4 linked regions of the Arabidopsis thaliana genome follow. The protein of the gene in region 3 interacts with the protein of the main gene of each other region in a pairwise test. Each region holds a gene or a part of one and is shown on either strand. Other genes may lie near its edges. The genes, in order: PABN1, AT5G10350, nPAP and GATL4.

Region 1 (4,776 bases), on a different chromosome or scaffold from region 3:
CATTCTCATAAGGACAGGTATAGCTACAACAACATATCTATTACTATAATGGATGGACATAGATAGGAACAAATTATGATATTGATAAGAAGAAGATACCAATATGAATAGTCATGATGCCGCTGTTGCAGCCAATGTCAAGACAGTCTTTGCCTTCAAACCATTCCTTCTTCAACACTTTAAGCCGAGGATCCTCATCCGTGTCATTGCTTATCTAACACATTATGTTGCCAAACGAATCCAAAATCAGATACTAAACCAAAAGATGAGCAGACTATGAAGGAATTTGAAAATATACTACGAAACTCACTCGGTAGCCATAGTAGTTTCTGTAATTTCCGAAGGGATAAACTTCTTGATTCTTCTTCTTCTTGCTTTGATTACAATTTCCTTGTTGTCCTTGTTGTTGCTTCTGCTTCTGCTGTGTTGGGACTTTCTCTTCATTAGCAACTACTTTCTCAACACTCTTCTCATTCTCATTACTTCTGTTTCTCTTCTTCTTATTCTTCTTCTGATCGTTGTCCCGACCCATTTTTTTCTCACACGCGTTGATGAACAAAGCTCGCGAAGTTAGGGTTTCTTCTATGTTATCGCTATCAGCTAGATTCTTAGAATCGAAACAAAACGATTAAGTCTAAACAGAGAGATTCGACGAAGCTAGCTCCTAGAGAGGTTTTTCTTCGAGGTTAAGCGGCGCAGAGCGAGGAGGAAGAAGAAGAAGAAGAACCGAACCGCCTTTGAAAGTCCAAAAGGGTTTAACGAGTCTCATATTTAAGTAATCCTCTCTTTTTTAGTTAATACATTCTTTAAACCTATTTATGTAAATATACGAAAGTTTCCTTTTCTTTCACCGACGTGGCCAAATTAATCTTAGAGAATTAACTTTTGTTTTTTTTTGGTCAATATGCATCAAATCTAGAACAATGGAAGCTTGCGAGTTATTGTGAAATCGTGACTCGTGTTTGAAGATAATAAAAACAAAGGAACTCATCAAAATGTTGCACTTGTCATCAAATATTGTACAGAAAATCTAGAATATAATTCCCCTCTCTCTTCTGCCATACAATTCTTCAACTCATCTCTGTTAATCGAAACAACTGCAGCGTCCGATGAACCGTGTTGATGATGATAAGCTTTCCCGAAAACGGAGAAGCAGCTGCTACTTTTTTAACACCAATTTGCCTAATCAGTACGGTCTGTAGCGCATAGGCCGTCTGAACCTGGGAACTCTCCTGCACAAACCATCAACCATTGTCAATTTTATGAACAACCATGATGAATCAAACAAATGGACTTTAAAAGAGAGGATAGGCAGGTAAGGTTCTAGAACACACCCATAAGCATATGGAGGATAAAATGGAACTCCTGGCATGAATCCCCTCATCGGTCTAAAGGGACGCCCTCTTCCTCGAAATTGCCTCATTCCAGGTACATTAGTCCTCTTTGCAGATACCTGAAAATAGATTAAACAAAGTTTAGTAATGACAAATCGTAATATGGAAAATAATTAACTACATCGTATTGAACGAGTTTGCACCTTTATCTGACGACCATGTAGTTCTGACTCGTTCAAAATAAGCGAATTCTGAACAGCTTCTACTTCCACAAATTCGACATACGCAAAACCTTTAGGTTGACCAAACTTATCTGTCAGAATTGTAACCCTATTCACTGTCCCACATGATTGAAAATGCTGCTGGACTTCCTCTGGAGTACATGCATAGTCCACCTAATATACACAAAAAAACAAAGACACAGGATATCTAAAGAATCAGCTTCACAGATGGGAGATATGAAGGCTTTCTGAAATATGAAGGAAAGTTAGTTTAGCAATTACTAGAGATAAAGAAATAAACAACAAGCAGCCTCCAAATTTCATTGATACCAAAGCAATAAAACACACAAACTTTCTTTAAAAAAGATACAAACATATATGAGAAACATGTGAAAATTAATGGTGGAACAAGCCTCACATTGCCAACATATATTGAACGCGAATCCACTTCTTCCTTCTCAGCCGCACTAACACCACCTGAAGGGTCTTCATTGATATGCAACAACATAAAAGGTATTGACCCAATTAGCTAACTGACAAGACTCCACAATACTATTAATGATTTCCTTCTCATACTCAAACTCCAGTAAATTTCTAGACAGATTCATTGATTCACTAAAAGATTCCAATATGTAAACCCAAAGCAATATCATAATCAACAAGACAAGCTTTAAACCTAATCTATCAATTTAAAGGTTAATGTGAAGCTGCGCACAAAGATTCAAGATTTTACGTATCAGTTAATAAGTACAAACCTTGACTAGCACCCATATCTTTCTCAGCCTTGGCTTGCATTTCACGCAAAGCTCCAGCTTCTTCCTCAATCTCCTTAATTCGTTTCTTCATATCCTCCAAGTCCTATCAAACAATCAAAGCAAATAACAGACTAAATACAGTAAAAAATAAGAAGAGTCTCAATTGGATAAAAGTAAATTATAGATCGAAGAATCACAATACCCTAGAGCTAGAGCCAGGTTCAAGCTCCTCATCTCCGGCGGCGGCACCTTCTTCTCCGCCGTGTTCTTCGTACTCTTCCGTATCCATCTCACCTTCTTCCTCTTCTGGGATCTCTCCACCGTACACCTCATGCTCTTGCTCATCGTGCACCGGCATCTTTCTCTCTCTATATCTCTCACTCGGCGACTGTCGTTAAAGCGAGAAACAGAAGTCTCGGAATTTTAGGGCTTGAAATCGGGAAAGAAGGGAAGGTTTGTTTGTAATTAAAGATACCCAAAAAGGATACTTTCGGAATTATGAAATCTTAAGTAGATTCACCAAAAGTGGACACAAAAGTACAATCAAACCCAATGGGCTTCTCAGATTAAAACGTGACGTGTAAAGTCGGTCCCACGAAAGTTTATTGTGGTTCCCATTAGTCATTAGTGATTACGTGGCACCTCACCCATTTAACTCAGTCCAGTGGTCTGAAAATCGTTTCGCTCTCTAAAAACCAAAACTCTTATCTTCGGTACAGAGCAAATCACAGCTCCCGATGGCCGCCACGTCATCATCACCGCCGTGTAACATCTCCGCGTCCTCCCTCCTCCTCCGTCAACCTTCTCGCTCAATCCTTAAAGTGTTCGGTTTATTACCACCTGTAAGTAGGAATAACCGTAAACTCGGCCGGTTAACGGTGACCCGGTCTAATCTGGCGCAGGATTTTCTTGGTGACTTCGGAGCTCGTGACCCTTACCCGGAGGAGATAGCGAGTCAATTCGGAGATAAAGTGTTGGGATGCCAAAGCACTGAGCACAAGATTTTGATACCAAACGCATCTGTTTTGTCTCTCTCCCAGCTTCAGTGTTCCCCTGTTTCGTCTTCACAGCCTCCTTTGTCCGGCGATGATGCCAGAACTCTCCTCCACAAGGTACTTATACTATTTCTCTCTTAGTATAAAAATGTTCGAGTTTTGATTTTACAAGTTTGTTGGTTGATCAAAATATTGTGAAAATGTTATTGATTCTGCGTTTAACAGATTTCTAATCTATAAAGATAGAATTGTGACCCAAAAATATAGAAAAGCCAATGAAAATTTTAGTATCATGAGGGACATATTAGGAACAATGGTTACGAGATTAAAAAAAAATGAAATGATTAGTGTTGATAAGGCTCATGTTGGTGTTTTGGTTCACGGTTACCACTCTAATGATGTGGTACATCAATCTCAATGATTATTATGTAAACGTTTTAGGTTTTGGGATGGAGTATAGTGGATAATGAAGCGGGTGGTCTGAAAATAAGGTGTATGTGGAAAGTGAGGGATTTTGGGTGCGGTGTTGAACTCATAAACAGGATCCATAAGGTTGCTGAAGCTTCTGGTCATTACCCTTCTCTTCACTTGGAAAGTCCTACCCAAGTTCGAGCTGAACTATTTACCTCTTCTATCGGTATGTCAAATATTTGATGTTCGAGTTTGAGTTTTAATATATGGTTTCTTAAGACGGTTTGTTGGATGAATAATGCAGGAGGGTTGAGCATGAATGATTTCATAATGGCGGCTAAAATAGATGATATCAAGACTTCTGATCTTTCCCCTAGGAAAAGAGCTTGGGCGTGATCTTCTTTTCATTATTTTGGAACATTTTTGTTTGATAGTATGTAATGTATGTGATGTATTCTAAATTGTGTGTGATCGGTCTACATGTCGAGTTATATAGAAAGCATTGTCATAACCGCATAAGAGATATCACGCAACATGTCTTTGAGATTCATTCATCAATCAAAAGAAGAAAGAACATCAATCATATGGAGCACAATATAAGAAATGAGACATTATTATTAGATTAAGACATTATTATTATCATTTCTTCTTCTAGAACATTCTGGGACTAACAAAAAATTCGAAAAAACACAACTACATTTTTGCATTCTAATAGGCGGTGGTGGTTGGAGGACTAGCCATTTTGGAGCATTGGTGTTTCATCATAGGAGGGAAAAACGGGTTGGATGGAAGATTTGGTAAGCAGTTAGCTTCAGCGTCAAGGAAAGCTTTACAACAAGCAGGACCAACGCCTTCAAATTTGCCGGACATTACGGCTTGTTGAATCTCTTCAAAGCATCCCGGCAAATCCATCACTGTTGACCAACATTTGCTCAAGTCGGGACTTCCTGCCATACCGGGACTTGGTTTGAACGGATTTGGAAACGGGAACATGATTGGGGGAAACTGCGGTAGCTGAGCATTAACGGAGGCTGCGATGCATACAACTACTAGGAGAGAA
Region 2 (5,750 bases), on a different chromosome or scaffold from region 3:
TTGGTTATATAATTCCGCTGAGTTAGACCTAAATGACAAGCCTACTACTTGTGAAGTTTTCGATTTTGCCACCAACGCTTGGAGGTACGTTTTCCCCGCGTCCCCTCATCTGATTCTTCACACCCAAGATCCTGTTTATGTAGACGGGTCACTTCACTGGTTCACTGCCTTGTCACACGAGGGCGAAACCATGGTTTTGTCTTTGGATCTTCACTCCGAAACGTTCCAAGTCATCTCTAAAGCTCCCTTTCTCAATGTCTCTGATGAATATTATATCGTCATGTGCAACCTCGGTGATCGTTTGTGCGTATCCGAGCAAAAGTGGCCCAACCAAGTCATATGGTCGTTGGATGATTCAGACCACAAGACATGGAAGCAAATATATTCCATAGACCTCATTATCACCTCTTCTTTGTTCTTTAGTGCCATATTCGCATTCACCCCACTAGCAGTTTTGGACAAGGACAAGTTATTGTTTTATGATAGTACACACGGGGATGCATTCCTAACACATGATCCAGATACCAAATCTTATGATTTGCCTTACACATCTAATCGCTGTGCAACTGTTGTTTGTTATTTCCCGAGTTTAATTTCTATTTTGTAGACTTGAATGATTGGTTATTTGTCCAAGCATTCTTTTTTGGTCGTTATTTGTCCAAGCATTCTAGTTTCTGATTAGTTTACTCACTGGGTTATGAATTACTATGTTTTATCAATATCAACATCACATTACAAATTTTCATAAATTTAATGTTTTGATTATACCATACATCAAAAGTACTAATGACGAGAAGAAAAAACATTATTCTTTTTTTTACTCTGTAATCATCGATTCTCCAAACCGAAAAGATAACAAATACTATAAGGAATAAGGGATTTGATTATACCATACATCATTGATTAGTAAAGGTTAGCTTCTGACTAAGGGATTTTTTGCGGAAACATAATAGCTTCTTACAAAGGCTTCTCTACGTAACATCAATCTTCTTGTTGGTATACTTATTTAGCCCCCTTTGGATGAAAGAAAGTACTAACAAAGATATAAACTGAAAGTAATATCGACCAAATATAATCATAATCTAAAGAAACAAAAGCTTATAATCTCATCCGTACATGACAGATTCAAAATTAAGTTCAGGTGCGAGCAAAGTCATATTCATATATAAAGCTCGAAATGGAGGGACGACCTCGGCATCATCTCTGTCATAGTTCTTCTTATTCCGGTACGGTTTCTATTGGTAAGGCATGTACCGCATTGGCCTTCTGAACCTAGGAGCCTTCCTGCACGAGGCATTGCCGAGTCTCGTGAGACGAAGAAGAGAAAGCCATTTGTGATAAACTGATGGTAAATATGCAGAGTTTAAACTTACCCGTATCCATATGGGGAATAAAAATACGGAGGCACAAAGGGTCTGCGAAAGCGGTATCCCATTGAAGGGTTGAAACGCCCAGGATGATACTGTTTCATTCCAGGAACATTGGTTCGCTTAGGCGAGACCTGAAATGAAAACCAAAAGAGAAGAGTTGAGATCAATGAACTGTCCATTTCCTTCAGTATTGGTCTTAGTACGAGAAGATACCTTCAGTTGACGACCATGAAGCTCTGATTCATTCAGCTGCAGAGCTTCTTGCACGGCTTCCACTTCTACAAACTCCACATAAGCAAATCCCTTTGGCTGTCCAAACTTGTCCATTAGAATGGTTACCCGGTTGACTGTTCCGCATGTTTGGAAATGTAGTTGCACTTCTTCAGGTGTACAGGCATAGTCGACCTGCAGGGTGGATAATGAGGTCTTAGTACAACACAAGCATTCTTATTACAACTAAAACCATGACTTACTGAGAACGTAACAGATAGATAAGTTAACCACCCCACTAAGGGAAGCCAAGAGACAAACTTGTGTGTTCTAAAGCAATTTTCCATGTCTAACATTAGACCTAAGTTATGTATGGTACATAAACGCTATGAAAGTCTTCATTTTATGAGCGTGAGTTCAAAAATACATGATAAAAGGCCAGCATCAAACTGCAGCCTCTCGCGAAATCCGCAAACAACCAAACCTGTATTAGCTCCAAGTATCCTCCCTGCGGAGCTTTGGGTCTTGTTTAGAAAGCATCCAGCATCTTGGCATCTTGATCCAGCTCTTCAGAGTTCAGAGACCATCTCCTCAAGGATAACAGAAACCTTGCTTTCTAATCCCACCCAACTCACTCAGACTCCCTTTTTCCTCTCAAGAAATCCTTCTTTTTTTTTTCAAGCTCATGCAATATTTTTCTCCACATTTTTCTGCTATATCTTTTTTTTTTTTTTTCAAATTTTTTTCCTTCTCTTTTCTTTTTACTTTCAACATTTTTTTTATAGCTTTTTTATCATCAAATTGCACGGGAAGAATGATTTTAACACTACAACAAGGAAACTAGCAAAACAGTCACAAAACTTAGTTGAGAACCCAGAGCTATTAAGAACTTCATTTATGAGAACAACCCTGCGATTATATAGGACATAGAGGTCAAACTCTTCAACTAGAAACAATAAAGAACCTACTTCACAACATTAAATTTAGAGAAAGCCTCTTGATACAGATTCTAACAGTAATCTCAAGGGATAAAGAACAAAGCTAAGACACAATTGCAAGCAGTTCTTTTATCAAAGATGAAATTTAAGTTAACAAAATAGTCAGCCTAAGCTAATCCACACTAAGATTGGCAAACAGATCAAAGCCGTTTAGATGAAACAATGATTCAAGCACAGAAGAGATACCATGAAGTAGAAAATAAGCTATCTTACATTGCCAACATAAACTGATCGAGCATCCACCTCCTCCTTTCCTTCTTGATTTGCAGCCATACTAGCAGGATCTGAAACAAATTGTTAAGCAAGAAACAGAAGTTCAATTTCCTAAAAGTAATCTACACAATCAACAGATTCCTCCTAGTATATCAAATTCAAAGATAGTCTCGAGCAAACGAATTCAAAAAAAAAACGAAAGAGTCACAAAACCTTGAGTAGCTCCCATTTCTTTTTCGACTTTTGCTTGCATCTCTCGTAGCGCAGCAGCTTCTTCCTCCATCTCCTTTAATCTCCTCTTCATCTCAGCAAGCTCCTGATTCCATGAAATCAAAACACCAAAAATCAAACAGATGTATACACACGATATACAACAAAATCAAAATCGAACGAAGCAGAAGTAGACCGTAACGGCGTCCTCATCGGCTGCAGACATATCGATATCCGGATCGGGAACATCCGTATCGCCGACTTCAGGGATTTCTCCACCGTAAACCTCGTGCTCTTCTTCCTCCATTTTTGTTTCCACTCTTCGGAGCTCAAGCAAACGAATAAAGCTTCGCTTTGGTGAATGAAAACGACTTGCACACTTTTCCTACCGATCCAGATAGGTCGATTGCAAACAACGACGTCGTCTCGTATTGGGCCTCGGTTACAAACTTACAAGAGCCCATTATCATAACACTCTAACTGAATCTGAAGGTTTTGATTTTTCTTCAAAATTCAATTCGGCCCATCATAGGCCCCAAACATTATGGAAGAAACAGGCTTGTGAATAATTTATCAAATTATATCATGGATCAAATTAAATTTATGGACCAAATTAAGAGGTCTGTGAAATAATACTGCATAATATGGATCAGATTAATTTATATCAGAGACAAATTATCCACAAAAATATGATACAGTTTGATCCAAATTATTCCAAAGGTATTGATAAGAATGACTTTTCCCCAAAACATATCTACAGCCATTTGTTAAATAAATAAATTTTAATTGCAGTTAAGCAAAGTTCTTCGTCTTCTTCCAACCTTTTTAGTTTTTTACTTACCACTGTTGTAAAACAGAGGATTTCGGCGAAGATGGCATAAGGAGACAGTAGAAGCGATTCTCCGACTCCATAGTCTCCGATCAACACCAGCTTGAAGAAAGGAGTCAGTCTTCAGCGACGGGTCTCCATATTAAAAGAGTTTAATCGAGATTGAGTTTTGGTTCAAAACATTACACTTTTTGGAAAAAACACTTTAAAGGTAGGTCATCAGTTTATCTAATAATGAAGACATCTGGTCATTTACTATCAACAAACGGGCATATAAATAAGAACTAAATATAACAAACGTACTACTAAGAGGTTCAAAACTTTGATATAATAAAAGGCTTGAAAAGTTGACACAAAACAGAAACCAAAAATAGTGTTCAAAATGGCGTTCTCATGTCTGTGGAGCAACTTAAATACGACCAGAAACAAACTAGAGAGAAAGAAATTTCTTAATCTTGAGGCAGTTTAAGCAGCAACGGGTTTAGCAGGAGCAGAAGAGAGTCTAGACCTCTTCTTGGCCAAACTTTCACTACGGCGATCACGCTGCTCCTTTAGTCTGGAGGCAAGAAGCTTCTGGTAATCAGCTGCATCAGAGTTAGCCTTGGCGATTCTCTTCTTCTTGTCAGCAATTCTAGCTCTCTTCCTCTGGAGGGTCAATGGAGTCACAAGCCTCTGGATCTTAGGAGCCTTGCTAACCTTCTTGCCTGCACATGGAAGCCTCATATATTAGTAAATCATCAATCGTATAAACAGTTTTCAATTATCTCTTTAAGTGAATCTAATTTTCTTACCCTTCTTGTTTGTGAAGGTACGGCGGTAAGTGTTAACGTACTTCCTCACATCATCCTCTTTTCCAAGGTTAAACAACTTGCGGATCTTTGATGCCCTCTTGGGACCTCTCATTCTTGGCTTCTCAGTGTCGGTAAGCCCGGGAAGATCACTTACACCCTTCTTCACAATGACCAAGTTAAGAACAGACAGGTCAGGGCTCACAATGCAACCACGGACAGACTTTCGTCTCCTCTCTCCAGTCCTCCTTCCGTGTCCTCTAAAACAAGGAGTACCTAAACACAATAACCAGATCACATAAATAAAAAACACAGAAGATTAATGAAAAAAAGAGAAGCTGTATAATTTTATCAATGGGGTGGAATCTAGTACCTCGGTGAAGCAAAAGACGGACACGCCCTGGAGTGAGAACTCCTTGTTTCATTGGGAAACCTTGCTTGTCACATCCTCCCATGATCTTGAATACGTATCCCTTGAATTCCTGCAAATAGCTCAAAACACACACAATTCTGTTAAGTATACTGAACTCACAAGACATCAGAAAAAAACACTGAACCAGGAGAAAAAATTTCACCTCGCCTAGAGCATCTCCGCTAACTTCCTGAGAGAGCCTCTTGTCGAAAAAGGCGCGGCTGCATCAAAACAACAGAAATGAAACTCAATATCTTTACCAAAATCGACAATGTTGATTTTCAGATTCAGAACTGGTTATATATCAGACCAACGCAGTAAACATCATAGATTCCAGTAATGCATCAGCTATAAACAGATCCTAGCAGTGTGAAATAGTAACTATCCTACGATTCAAAGGTTTGGATTCAAAGAATTTTACGAACTTCATAGCAGATTGTTCACACTCTACACTCAATAAGCCAAATGTAAACAAATCCATGAAGAAAATGTGATTTAAAGCAAAGATCTTACAGTTTTTGATCGTCATCGATCTCGAGTTTCTTTTGACACCCGGTGGTCGGATTGGCGACGTTGAACTGCGACACAAACCAAAATCGATTGAATCAAACGAAATAACAAAGAGATAAACGAGAACAGAATTGATGAGAAGAAAAAGATGGAGCCACCTTCATCGTCTCCGATAGACACTGCTGCTACAACAGCCTGCGTAAGATGATT
Region 3 (7,520 bases):
GTTTTTTTCTTGATAGTTGAAAAGGTTTCCATGCTTAAAAAGGTAGATATTAGTAGTGCTATCGGTCACTACCGAGAAATTTCTTATCTGTTGGCCCCGAGAAGTTAAAATCCCATATTTTCGACTCAGTCAATATATATTGAAAACATTGAAAGGGCTACTGTTTCATCTTACTCTTCAAACCTTTGGCATGCTGTATTAAAGATAATTCAACCAAACAAGACATATCTCCACAAAAAGTGTTTGGTCTCGGTAGGAATTCCAACCATTCATGTTTTCAAATACAGAGCTCTTGTACTTATTCATGGTCCTCTATATTTTAAGTGACGCTTTGAACTTGTATTTGGAACTAGCAGATCCGACACATTTAAATTTGAGAATCTGTCTTTCCCGGTTCAACCACCAATTATTCCAATTCCTCTATAGATTTTCCATCATATTACATCATAAGAAAAAAAGAAACAGTGTTTTGACTTTGATATAGATCAGAAACCTTTATTTTAAAGCCTTTCATTGCAACTACTCTCACTTAGTTTTGACAGCATAACTCCAAAAACGAGAGACAAGGAGGCATAGATCTTATATACATAAACCGCAAAATAAAATTAAAAAAACACAAACGATTCAAGTCAAAGCCCTAAGAGGACCAGAGTCTGAAACAGCCGAATAATAAAAAAAAAAAAGCATTCATCATCCAGACATTATATAAATCATTTCAATCTTCAAGTTATGATCCTGATGACGCATATTGAGCTTTGGTCATCATCCAAGCTCACTCAAAATACCACCACCAATGCTTTCTCTGCCTATACCTTCTTTTCTCTTTTGGTTACCTTTTTTTTTTTAACTTAATTCTTTTTTTTTTTTTTGAATTTTTCAAATGTCATTTTTTAACTTTTTTTTTTCTTTTTTCTTTTTTCCATATTAAAAATTCACTTACCAAAAGCTTCTGGACTCTGTCGTCTGTCCAACGCAACAATTTGAGTTGAAATCCCCCGTTTTCTTCACGTCAATAGCCTAGAGGACGTTCACACAGTGGACTTTAAGCTTAACCTGCTTGTGCTATAAAAGCACCAATGAAACCAAATACACAACAAGAATAACATAAAGAAATCATGACTTTGCATAACACACATGCCTTATCTGTGACTTCTGGAAAGATTCTGACCTAGCTCTGTCTTCCGACTTCTCCATCCCGCTCACCAAAGAGTTTGACTAAGACAAGACAAGATTACGAGCAACAACATAAGTTAGTTTTATTCCTTACAAAACTTAATCAAAGAGAGAAAAGTCTAATTCAATAAGTTTCAAGCGGAGTTGCTTTGCAGTGCAGGACCTGCCAATCATATATATGCACTAGTTAGGCGGTATGCAGCAGAAATCACACAAGGCAAGTTATAACACAGCAGAAACATTGACCTCTTAAGTAGTACTGTTTATGGACAACCATCAAATTTCAAACTTAGCTCCATCCTATGTTTCTTGACACTATGAAACCAGTATGAGATTCCATGTAGTGTGGAGAATTGATGCTCGCATATCATTGGACATTCATTTTTAAACCAGCTATTAAATATTTTCAACAGAACTAATCTTATGATAACTACTGTGAGGTAGCTTAATAACCTGAAGGTCTTCCGACATGCCGCTTTGAGAGTACAAGTTTTTCTTTCCCATAGGATCTGAATTTGCAGCAGGAAACCCGAAACCCTGTAAAAACTCATCATTACTATGCCCGGTATGTTCAAACAATTATTGCCAATTTCTGATAACACACCAGAACCCCCAAACATATACAAAAAGAAAAAAAAAACTAACCTCATAATCACGGTTCTGCCCACAGGATCTGCTCGGAAGAAGTGGGGAGTCAGTACCACTGATGGATACAGACCTCAAATTACGATCTAAGTTTTCTTCCTGCCCACTTACACATGCTACCACATCAACAGAGTCAGGTGTTACACACTTTCCCAAAGGCTCAGCAGGATCAGAGCATTCTTGAACTACAGCCATACTATCTACTTCAAGAACTTGCTCGCTGCCAGAGTTACACTCATTTCGAGCTAAGTCTGTGAGTTCAGTACACTCAGTGTTCAAATTATCAGCTTCTATTTCCTCGCTTGGTGGCCTTCTAAGGTTGCAAACAGGAGGAGTCCAACCAGTTGTGATAGCACTATTTTCAGGAGAAACTATATCTAGACTCTGTGGACTAAGAGATGCACGCTTCTCAGGTTTCTCTGGCCTCACATCCATCATTTCACTATCGTTCTTTCGCTTGGCATGCCTCTCCACCACAGAGCCGGAATGAGAAACACTGCCATCTTCACCAGATTTTCCACCCGGTAGATTTTGGTGCCTGGACTGCCGAGGCCTTCGATATCCATTAGGGAAAACAAAAGGTGGAAGCTGTCGTCTACGAACATGAGAAACGAAAACATCCATCCCAGGTTTCCAAAACATATACATGTTTACTTCTTGTCTGAACTCATCGACAGTACCACGTATATCAAACTGTTGACATTCTTGACCCCCAACTCCCTCTGCCCTCTGCAAGCCCATGAAAAAGGCACAATGCAGAAACTGCCTAGCCGTGTCTACATACTCATTTGGTTGGGGATGGCACATTAACATCCCATTAGTGTCTCTTTCTATCTGCATTATTGAATGAAAAGAAACAAAATCGAGAAACATTTAATAATTTTATATTTTCTACCACAACAAATATGATTAAACACTGATATACAGCAGGTTTATTACTGTAAATCAAATGAAAAGAGGAGGCTATCAACCTTTAAGGTCAGCTGTCTGAACCGCGACTCCACCCAACCCTTCCAAGCCAATAAATCTTCTGCATCTGCTGCCACTATATCAACCTGAAGGTAGTTTTTGTATGCCTCGAAAAACATATATTGTTCAAATAAAGAGCTCCAGTGCTGTTTATTTAATTCAATCTCCTGCATTAAAAATCATGCATAAGTATAGGATCCTGAATAAATAGTTGAGATAACAAGTCAAAAGTTTTGCTCACTTACCTGCAAGATATTGTTACCAAACTGGAACTGCTCTGTCATAACGCGAAGAGTGCTTTGAGAGACATTGTAACTAGAATTCATGCATGGGTAAGCTGGAGTTATTATTGGCATAAGGTGATAGCGGTCGCGATGATTCTTACGACGGTCCCAGACAGGAAATCCAAGCTCATCCTCTTCTATTGCACAAAGCATGACTGGGTTCGGCCACCGCCATTGAGTATATACTCTAAAAAAACGAGAAACCAGCATACTAGGAATTGCATTTGGATAAAGCTGGCAGACACGAGCAACCAAAAGTGCCCAGTTTACACCGCCAAGAAATCCAGTCACCTGCCCAATATGAGAAATATGACAAGAGCTTAGACATGAAAGTTTTCAATAAATACGAATTTCAGAAAGCTATGATCTTACATTTGAATACACCCCACGCTTCTTAGCCCAGTACTTCAGGCATCTTAAGGTTGTCCGGAAGTGCTACAATTGCACATAAGATAAGAGAAGGTAACCATAGTTCATTCATATGTTAACATAATGACTGGCATTCTGTGAGTTTACCTCAAAATTTGGAACGAGTTTAAGAATCTGATCAGCAACTCTACAACCATTAAGACTTCGAACGGTTGGCTCATCAACTTCACACAGCACAGAAGAGCTGGAGATATCCAGATCCTGTCGATAAACCAAATCCATGAAAACAAGAAATTTGATTCAGCAAGAGATTGTAATCTACCATGACAGCTCACGGGCTCAGTTTTCATATAAAAATCAAAACCGATGCACCAAAATAGCCAGCAAACTTTTCAGATCTCTCTCTCAAGCCAGAAACTACTAAAATAAATTTGTTTACTATATAAGCCATTGAGGATGAGTAATACACTATCTGTCTCCATCAACATGCAAACAAGCACAACATATAGCATAATATATACAAGCTAATATAAATTTATCAGACCCTACAGCTTCAGCAAAAACAAAGAAAGATACAATAAATTCACAGAAAATTACCTGTGGCACAACTAAAAGTGATATGCTAGCATAGAGCAGATCAATCGGTATTCCTTGAAACTTAAATTTCATGACCGGAACATGGGCATCGGGAACAGGATGGAGCTCAGTCACTTCTTCCATCTCAGCCAATATATCATGCAAGATGATGAAGAAATCCTCCTGTAAAGAGTAAGTGTTAAGAACTAAAGAATCAAACTTCTGCATCAATAAGTGGTAGCAAGAGTCACCTCCCGGTTAACATAAGATGGCCCAACACACAAAGTATCAATGTCAGCCCCAGGACCATGCACCTGCAAAGTGAACAAAATTGAAGTCGGTTCAGCCTCAGAGACTAAGATTGCATTTGCATAGACAAAAACAGAGCGATCTCTCGAGTAATCCACAAACATATAGCAAAAAACATATTATACGCATTTTAGCTTCAAGATAAAAGCAAGGAAGCGGTAAACAAGTAGCACTTACGCCAAGTCGGTAGGATCCAAAGGTGAAAATGACAGCATTTGCATCTTCCACCATCTGATCAGTATATCCTCTTTGCTGCGTTAACTGTTTCACCCAGTGCTTTACAATCTAAAAAAAAAAGGTGGGAGATAAGATTGATAGTTTCAGACAAATAGCACAATGAACAGCATGTGAAGAAACTTAAAAACAGCAAAGTAAATCAATGGACATAAGAACATATGCCTGACCAGTCTATTTCATATTGAACTATGATCTATGCTTAGCCCAAAATCAACAACCATACACGAGTAAGAACCAATACAATGAAACCTAAAAGACCATTATAAACACAATAATTTTATTCTTGTCGATTCAGACACCCAATTAGCACAACCATCAAAAGATAACACTTGTAAATATACAGAACAAACAATCAACGAGACACGCTGAGTCACCTGATCGATGCGTCCTAGAACTTCCTCTCGCCGCATGGTATCATCCTTGCTCTCGTAGAGTCCCTCATCAACCAAGTACTTGAGCATATAAGAAAATACACATCAGATAAGCCAAATCAACGAATCCTTTAAACAGTGGAACAATTTTTGTATAAACAAAAAAACAAAGCTTTACCTTCTCCAGCTCCACATTACGCTTAATATCCGCCGAAGAAGGCCCAGCAAGAGAGAGCGGCTTCGTAATTCCATAGCTTTTAGGAGAATTCAGCGGCGGCAACGAACCACCTAAATTTTGAGTACCCACCATCATAACACGATTGATAATCCTAAGCGATCAAAGCAGAAGCGCAGCACAAAAACATAATCTCGCTTCACGATATGATTAGAGGGAGATCGGATCAGACCCCCAGGTCAAGATGGATTCGAGACGGGAATTGCACAAGGAGAGGAAACAAATAAAAAGGAGATTTTGAAAATCGGAAACCCTAAATCGATGGAAGGGGAAAGAGACTACGGTGTCAAAAAAAGTCAAAGAAGAAGGAGAATCTGAAAGAGGTTAAATCGATGGACTAGGAACAGAGAGAAGAGAGAAAGAGAGAGAGATGATGGATCAAGAAGAAGAAGGAGGTATGAGGGAGATGGAGAGAGAGAGAGAGCAAAGGTTGGGGAAGATATTAGGTACACGGCGATTCGATTTTATAATTAAATTTTGATTAGTGGATTAATGTGTATGATTATTTTACGGAGGGAGCCGATAAGTCTCCGTTCAAAACAAGAAAACATTGTAATCATTTTGAAAACAAATCTAAATTAGATAATTTTGTTCAGATTTTTAATTTAAAGATTTTAATGGGGTTAGTGGGATTATTGGTAACTAGAAATCATGTGTCGATGGAAACCAACTGATTTAAAATCACCATCTGTTAATTTTAATTGATAAAGTTGAAAACTGGTGTGTTGTTTATTAGATTTTGATATAATTTTGATACTATATTGGATTTTAACATATTAAAGTGTTTTTAAATAAAAGATACAAAAGTTTAGGCTGTATATACAAAAGTTTAGGCTGTATATACAAACATGAATTTCAATTAGTGATGTAATAATGGATTTCCTTGATTAAAAATTACAAAGACCCAATTCTCATGGTTTTGTGAGATTGCAAATATTATTTTTTTTTAGTGAGGGAGATTGCAAATATTTTTAATAACAAATAGTAACAACTTTCCTAACTGTCTAAAACTTATCAAATTCATCTAAAATTTATTAATACTCGAATCTTTTCTTTCCAAATATGTAATTCATTATACTCCTAATTGGAGAGGAAACTTTATTATTTTAGAATCCACTTGTTTGATATTTAAATCCTAAATTGATTCATGAAGATTTGTAAAGTTTAGATTGATTTGTTAATCAAATAAAAAGTTTAAACCGATAATTTGATAGTTTAAAAATGATTTTTTCGGACAATTGTGTATTAAGATCTTTTTTTTATACTTAAGCGTTATAAAGATTTGTAAGATAAATTTTCTCCTCTCAGAAATTTGATTTTTAAGCTAAAATAACTATTCGATCTATACATTAGCTTGACATTATTATTTTTACAAAACAAATCAGTTTTTATAAATGCTATTTCTCAACAGGATATGATATTTCTCTCTTTGTCATGAACAATACCATATACTAAGAAAAAATGATTTTAAAAAAAAAAAATCTTAAGAAATTAAAGAATAGAAAAATTGCCTATATATTTTTGACACCAAATAGAGAAATTACTAAGAATATATTTCGTAAATATTAAGATATTCTTATCGTTTAATTTTTGTCATTTTCTTTAAAGGTATAATAAAGATAATTAATGAGATTTTATCCATACTTCTGCATTTATCCACGAATCAATTATCTGAAAACCGGAAATTGACAAAAGGAAAAACCAGCCGCCGTTTACGCTGGTATTTCGGTAATGTCCGTATATCATAAAGTAACGGTGAGCCAAAACGACGTCGCTTTCTCGTTCCTTACTTCTATACCACTCTGAGCTCTGAGAATTAAAACTCACATACATACATACGCTTCAAATTCACAGTCGCTTTACGTCACCGGAGAGAAAAACACTCAGAAGAATAAGGTTTTCTTCGATGGCTTCTAATGGCGTGGACGAGCAGATTAAGTTGGTGGAAGGACCTGCTGGTTATGTACTCGAAGATGTTCCTCATTTGAGCGATTACATTCTCGATCTCCCCGTACTACTTCCTCTCTCTATCTCTATACGATTCCATCGATTATTCTTTGAAATCGACATTTTCATGGATCGGTGGTTATACGATTTACGAATTTGATATTGTTGCCGATTTGGTGGTTCGTGTATAGCAAATGCAAAAGTTGTGTTTGTATAATTGGTTTCGCCTATTTTTAGCCTATATGTTGATTCGGACTGTTGATGAGATCCTGGTCTCTATCAGGGAGAGAATTACATAAATATTTATATTCGTATTAGTGCATACAAATGTGAAATGTTAAATCAATGTCAACGTGGAAATTGATTGGTGCACATATGCTTACTCGTCACCGAATGTTTGATTAG
Region 4 (5,132 bases), on a different chromosome or scaffold from region 3:
TAACCTTAAAACCCGTCCGCGTAGCATAAGAGTTGTAGTAGTCCCTTGCTTCCTCAGCAGTATCAAACTCTAATCCAACATAAGGTTCAAGACCAGAATCTCCTTCGTTTTCAGCAATGCCATTGTTAGTCCCAACCATTCCTAATGGATAAGTTTTGACAACCATGTTGTTCCCACAATTTAAACTGGTAGGTTCAGTATCTGCACTGCATCAAAACCAAATGTACACAGACAGTTATCTAATATGCAACCAATGTCAGTGATGCGAAATCAAACTACACATTCTTGGACACAGAAAACAGTAAATACAAAACAAAGACAGATAGCTACTGAAAGATTATGTATCTCACACCTAAGCTTAGATCTCTAATTAGCCTCGCATTCTTTTTTTTTTTTATGTAACCAAAAAACGCAAAAATGGAAAACTCCTAAAGAAGAAACAATGAGAAGATATAATCAGACAACTAGAGAAGTGCAGATTAATCATAACCCGTATCTGAATTTAATTGAAGCTAAAAAGAAATGAAATTTGAGGGAGAAAAAAAGACAAAAAAACTAATCGAAACACATATCTGAAATGTATTGTCCTCCGAAGATTACCTCTCCATGTCCATAGAAGCGACCGAATCAGGAAAGAAAACGCAAAACCCTTCCTTTAATTAACACGACGGAGATTGCAAGACCGCTCGGAAAGGCTTCAAGTTTGTGTGCCGATTAGACTTCACTTTGGAGTCTCTCAATTCTTGACCCTCTTCACCATTCTCTTCGTAGAGAAGATTGCAACAAAGAAGATACACAATTTAGGGCTTGAAACGAAGAAGAAGATAGACAGAGATACATATAGAGATAGAGAGAGAGAATGAGAAGAAGCAAAGCAAAAAAGCTCCACCTTTATTTTTGACCAAATGTAATAACATTACTTAAAAAATACTCTGTTTTTTATTAACTTTCCAAAGGACATGGTCTCGAGTCTCAACTCAAATTTAATAATAATAATAAAAAAGTCATCTTTATCATTATAAATTTTACAGATTTGAAAAAAGGAAACACATTTATTCTTCCCCTGAAGATACAAATCGATTTCGAGGATCGGAGGTATCTAGGGTTCTTCTGTATATCAATATTTTTCTCTAATAATCAGCTGAGGTTGGTTTGCTCGTCCTTTAGTTTTTTTCCCGCGTTATGTTAGTTACAAATCAGAGAATCCGTTAGTTAGTGATTCGCCATTACCAGACACCGGAATCTAACCCAAAGAAAGACACGAAATTGATCGGCGGTGTAAGCTTGTCGTCGGGAATTCCACTAAACCGAGACCGAAGCGGACAAAACTATACCGGCCAAAAGTTCCTTATGCTTGCTTGTTGGAGAATCCTGCAGATTTGTGACGTCTCTCGCCTTAATTCTGGTAAAACTTATTGTCTTCCTGTTTTGTTCTGGATTGATGTAGATTGATTTCAGACAGCCACTGTCTGTAACCGGAATTTCGAAACAGTGTCGCTAGTTTCTGTGTCGGATCTTTTTTCTTTAGTGATAAAGTTTTGATGATTTGTAAACAATTTAGATTCGATTCTCTGTTTATAAAAAGAATGAATTTAATCCTCCATTTTGTTTGTACCTATGTATATTACACGAGGAATATTCTAAAGGTTTGAATCAAAGAGAGGGAAACAAAACCGAAGAAAGGAGAAAAAAAAAATGATGATGATGATAATACCATCTATCTCTTCTTGTGATGAAACACACTCTGAGCTCAAATGCACAACAATGTGTTTAACATTACAACTTTTTTTCACTTTGTAATGAAACATTTTTGGCTCTCTTTGATCGCTAAAAACCCCTGCTTTCTTTTGTATCTTCTCCTCTCCTATATGTGCCATGTTTAATGGTTTTTTTCTTTTGCCTCTCTACTCTTCTAATGAATGTCTTGATGAACGGTACAGATCATACGGTGCCCATAGATGATCAACGATACAAGGCTTCCTTGAATCTAGTCTTAACCATGGCTTCCCTTTTCCACTCCAGTGAAGAAGACTTATCGGTCCCGGATGCAACGTTCTACATCTTCCTTCGAAATTATCACCTCCTAGACCATGCTGGTTCCACCTATGATTAACCGCTTTTATATCACCGGCGAATATCAGCAGAAACGGAGGTAATGATCCCAAATGGTATATCCTCTTCTGCTTCTGAATTGTCATCCACTCTTCTACCTTCTGTGTATACATTCCTTTCCTCCATTTGTTTACATCCACAACCATCACCCCTGTGTTGAAATAACACGGACGTTTTCCTTCAAGAACTTTGACCAATACCGGGTCTGACCAGAAAGTTCTTGTGAAATAATGGGTGAAGTTTGCGTGGCAGTACTCGGGAGCAGCCACCACTTTACCTTCCATCTCCACATGCCACAGCTTCTCTATGTCGTCTACCACAACGAGGTCTGAGTCTAAGTAGATGATCCTGTCAACGCTGCTAGGGATGATATCCGCGAGGTAGATTCTTGCGTAGTTAAGAGGCTGATCAAGGGCTTGCCTGATGGATTTCGATATCTTGCTGCGGACGAGGTTTGGATCAAACTGATAAATCTTGAAGTTTAGGTAAGGAAAGGTTGATTTGATGCTGGTGAAAAGGTCGTTTTCGAAATGAGGAAGGGACAGGAAATGAAAAGAGAGGTTTTCAGGGCAAGTGGAATGTTGAAGGAGAGACAAAACGGCAGCCATTGTGCCACGGAGGTAGTTTGTGTCGAGAGTCATGGCGATATGAATCTGATCAGCCTCACGAGTCCCGCATTGATCACCGTTTCGAAAAGCCGGGGCTTCTCTGAAAACAGGAAGAGTTGGAGCAGAAGGCTTATGAAGAATGACTCCAACACGAACCGCCATAGTGGTGGTTGTGACCAAGAGGAGTATAAAGGACAGGAGGCCTAGGAGTTGTGTATAGGAGAGGCTCCTTGAGGCCATCCTGAACCTAATTCTCAGGTAAACTCTTTTATTATTATTTTCACTTTTTTTTTTAATTTTTTTTTAAAAAAGGTTTAAACATTACAAATTAAAAAGATTGATTAGTTAATAGAGCCATTGTTAGGGAAAGGCTAGAATAAAGGATTTGGGGAGAGGCTTGTTTTATTAGCAGTCTAAATGTGGGGAAGAGATTGAACTTCGGACTGTTTCTCACACAAAATTTTGTCTCCAAAAAAAATCCATTTCCTATGAAATAGGAACAAGACAAGTCTGTTGTCCAATGAAATCGGAGTGAATTTTTAGATTTTGTTTCTTCTTCTTTAGATTCTTAGAAACTGGTTTATGTTTTTTTTTGGAAACAAAAATTATTGTTTATTTTTAGGACAAAATTGGTCTGATCAATTTGCTTTGCTGTCATTTCTTTTTACACTTGATTGCGTCGGCGGGTTTTTTTTTTTCCTTTTTGGAAGTACCAAAATTAGAATACTGTAACAAACTCCCCTAAAATGTATTAATGCATGCTTTTCATGCAAGAAAATAATGATTTTTATGTGATCAAATCCCTGATAACATCATACGATCTCATCATATATATAGTGGTACTGGTAAAATCTGTAATTCCAAAAGTTAAGTAAAATAGTAAGAAACTAACTTAAGAAAGTGTGTGTTACTCCACGTTTCAAGAAAAGAAAAATGTCTTATATACTCCAATCTTCATGCATGGCTACTAAGACAGTCGCGTGTCAATCGGTCATTCTCATGCCTAATACTAATCCATATATATAAATAATATATGAACCAGAGAGAAGATCTCTTGAAACTCTTTCGATTACAAATATTTGAGTTCAAACTTATTCTTTCACCAATACTAGCCATTTGCAGATAAGACAAATAGAAATCGAGTCGAATCTTTCTTGCTTGAGTGGTAGAAGATTTCTTTCTCTAGTTCCATGTAATTGGTCTAAATCAGTGAACTCATAATTTCATGTACACAAAAAAAAAAGACTGTTTCATAAACAGTGGATATATGGATTGGACTCACCATGTCATACATGGTCTCGAGGTAAATTACACTTACTAAGTAATCCTTTATATTTTACATTTTTTACCATGTTGTATGGTAATGTGATAGCTACCTAATTCACAGGGCCTTAGGCCCATTAGGTTTTCAATATTTTCATGGATTATCGGGTCGAGAAAATGTTATGATACCCGACCCGAAACGGGGAGAAAATAAACGAGAAAAGTAAGGAATTATCTCGAGGAAAAGAAAGCATCGATAATCTCAAAAAGTTTTTGGTTTGATTTGGGAACTCGTGCGCGGCTGTGGCAGAGGCCAAACCCACCCGTGTACTCCATCCGTCGGATCCACCAAACCAATATTCTTTCATCTCTCTCTCTCTCTCTCTCTCTCTTCTTCTTCGTCTTCTTCTCTTTTTATTCTTTCTTCAGGAACAAATTCCTCTGCTTTGGGCATTTTAGGGTTTCTCAAATTTTTGACGCTTTCTCTTAAAAGGGTTGACGAAATAACCCTTTAAGGGAAAAAACAAAGGTTGAGGAAGACCACCAAGGTGAAAAAAGAAAGAAGAATTCGAACAACAGCAGCAACAAGATAAAGTTACGAATTTTTCCTCTTTTGTAACCTTTGTTTCTCTTCTTCCTCTTCCTCCATTTTTTTCCATTAAAGATTCTGCCTTTGGGTTCCAATTTCGTCTTTCCTTTTTCGATTTTGCCGCGTTTAACATGACATTCGCAAAACCCTACACTTTTCTGGACGCCATTGTTGAATCCCACGAATTTCGTTTCCCTAGAGATTGCTTGTTCTAGCCCCAGCTTGAAGCTAAAGATTTTTCAAGGAAAGCACGTTTTTTTGTTTGTGCAATCGAATCTGTTTTTCTGCGTTATGGGTTGTGTTCAATGCAAATGTTGTAGCCGATATCCTTCGTCATCATCAGATGGAGATTCTCGTGGACCTTTAGAAGCCAATGGTGTTCTTAAGGGGAAAGATCAGAAACCTCTTGGATCTATTCACGTTCCTTCTCCTAATTTCGATATGGTTTACTCTGTGTTATCTCAACGAGGCTATTACCCTGACTCACCTGATAAGGAGAATCAAGACACTTACTGCATCAAAACAGAGCTTCAAGGTAACCCGAATGTTCATTTCTTCGG

What was found.
Region 1: the proteins of nPAP (region 3) and PABN1 interact in a two-hybrid assay, tested with the Arabidopsis thaliana proteins (one study listed by BioGRID).
Region 2: the proteins of nPAP (region 3) and AT5G10350 interact in a two-hybrid assay, tested with the Arabidopsis thaliana proteins (one study listed by BioGRID).
Region 4: the proteins of nPAP (region 3) and GATL4 interact in a two-hybrid assay, tested with the Arabidopsis thaliana proteins (one study listed by BioGRID).

The regions. Positions count from the first base shown.
Region 1 is NC_003076.8:20,777,652-20,782,427, reverse strand, and holds PABN1 (polyadenylate-binding protein 1), read right to left. Parts: upstream 2,768-4,776; 5' UTR 2,669-2,767; coding exon 2,513-2,668; intron 2,414-2,512; coding exon 2,311-2,413; intron 2,232-2,310; coding exon 2,109-2,231; intron 2,042-2,108; coding exon of another isoform or gene 2,033-2,041; coding exon 1,974-2,032; intron 1,730-1,973; coding exon 1,538-1,729; intron 1,454-1,537; coding exon 1,335-1,453; intron 1,233-1,334; coding exon 1,187-1,232; 3' UTR 871-1,186; downstream 1-870. Other genes in the region: AT5G51130 (S-adenosyl-L-methionine-dependent methyltransferases superfamily protein), read right to left, coding at 100-214, 311-532; AT5G51110 (Transcriptional coactivator/pterin dehydratase), read left to right, coding at 3,048-3,422, 3,747-3,942, 4,021-4,112; AT5G51105 (ECA1 gametogenesis family protein (DUF1278)), read right to left, coding at 4,425-4,776.
Region 2 is NC_003076.8:3,254,439-3,260,188, forward strand, and holds AT5G10350 (RNA-binding (RRM/RBD/RNP motifs) family protein), read right to left. Parts: upstream 3,374-5,750; 5' UTR 3,309-3,373; coding exon 3,198-3,308; intron 3,108-3,197; coding exon 3,005-3,107; intron 2,863-3,004; coding exon 2,792-2,862; exon of another isoform or gene 1,776-2,791; coding exon 1,584-1,775; intron 1,502-1,583; coding exon 1,374-1,501; coding exon of another isoform or gene 1,370-1,373; exon of another isoform or gene 1,285-1,369; coding exon 1,236-1,284; 3' UTR 798-1,235; downstream 1-797. Other genes in the region: AT5G10340 (F-box family protein), read left to right, coding at 1-607; EMB3010 (Ribosomal protein S6e), read right to left, coding at 4,296-4,534, 4,622-4,894, 4,992-5,100, 5,194-5,251, 5,544-5,608, 5,699-5,704. UniProt on the Arabidopsis thaliana protein: Involved in the 3'-end formation of mRNA precursors (pre-mRNA) by the addition of a poly(A) tail of 200-250 nt to the upstream cleavage product.
Region 3 is NC_003075.7:15,847,860-15,855,379, reverse strand, and holds nPAP (nuclear poly(a) polymerase), read right to left. Parts: upstream 5,609-7,520; 5' UTR 5,247-5,608; coding exon 5,112-5,246; intron 5,015-5,111; coding exon 4,937-5,014; intron 4,611-4,936; coding exon 4,503-4,610; intron 4,331-4,502; coding exon 4,268-4,330; intron 4,200-4,267; coding exon 4,038-4,199; intron 3,702-4,037; coding exon 3,588-3,701; intron 3,507-3,587; coding exon 3,444-3,506; intron 3,363-3,443; coding exon 3,033-3,362; intron 2,955-3,032; coding exon 2,790-2,954; intron 2,653-2,789; coding exon 1,819-2,652; intron 1,711-1,818; coding exon 1,627-1,710; coding exon of another isoform or gene 1,570-1,626; exon of another isoform or gene 1,489-1,569; coding exon of another isoform or gene 1,474-1,488; exon of another isoform or gene 1,216-1,473; coding exon 1,135-1,215; coding exon of another isoform or gene 1,114-1,134; exon of another isoform or gene 1,063-1,113; coding exon of another isoform or gene 1,029-1,062; exon of another isoform or gene 1,018-1,028; coding exon 937-1,017; 3' UTR 920-936; downstream 1-919. Other genes in the region: PFK6 (phosphofructokinase 6), read left to right, coding at 7,075-7,179. UniProt on the Arabidopsis thaliana protein: Essential protein. Polymerase that creates the 3'-poly(A) tail of mRNA's. Also required for the endoribonucleolytic cleavage reaction at some polyadenylation sites.
Region 4 is NC_003074.8:1,891,900-1,897,031, forward strand, and holds GATL4 (galacturonosyltransferase-like 4), read right to left. Parts: upstream 3,193-5,132; 5' UTR 2,961-3,192; coding exon 1,905-2,960; 3' UTR 1,065-1,904; downstream 1-1,064. Other genes in the region: FRS7 (FAR1-related sequence 7), read right to left, coding at 1-166; AT3G06270 (Protein phosphatase 2C family protein), read left to right, coding at 4,864-5,132. UniProt on the Arabidopsis thaliana protein: May be involved in pectin and/or xylans biosynthesis in cell walls.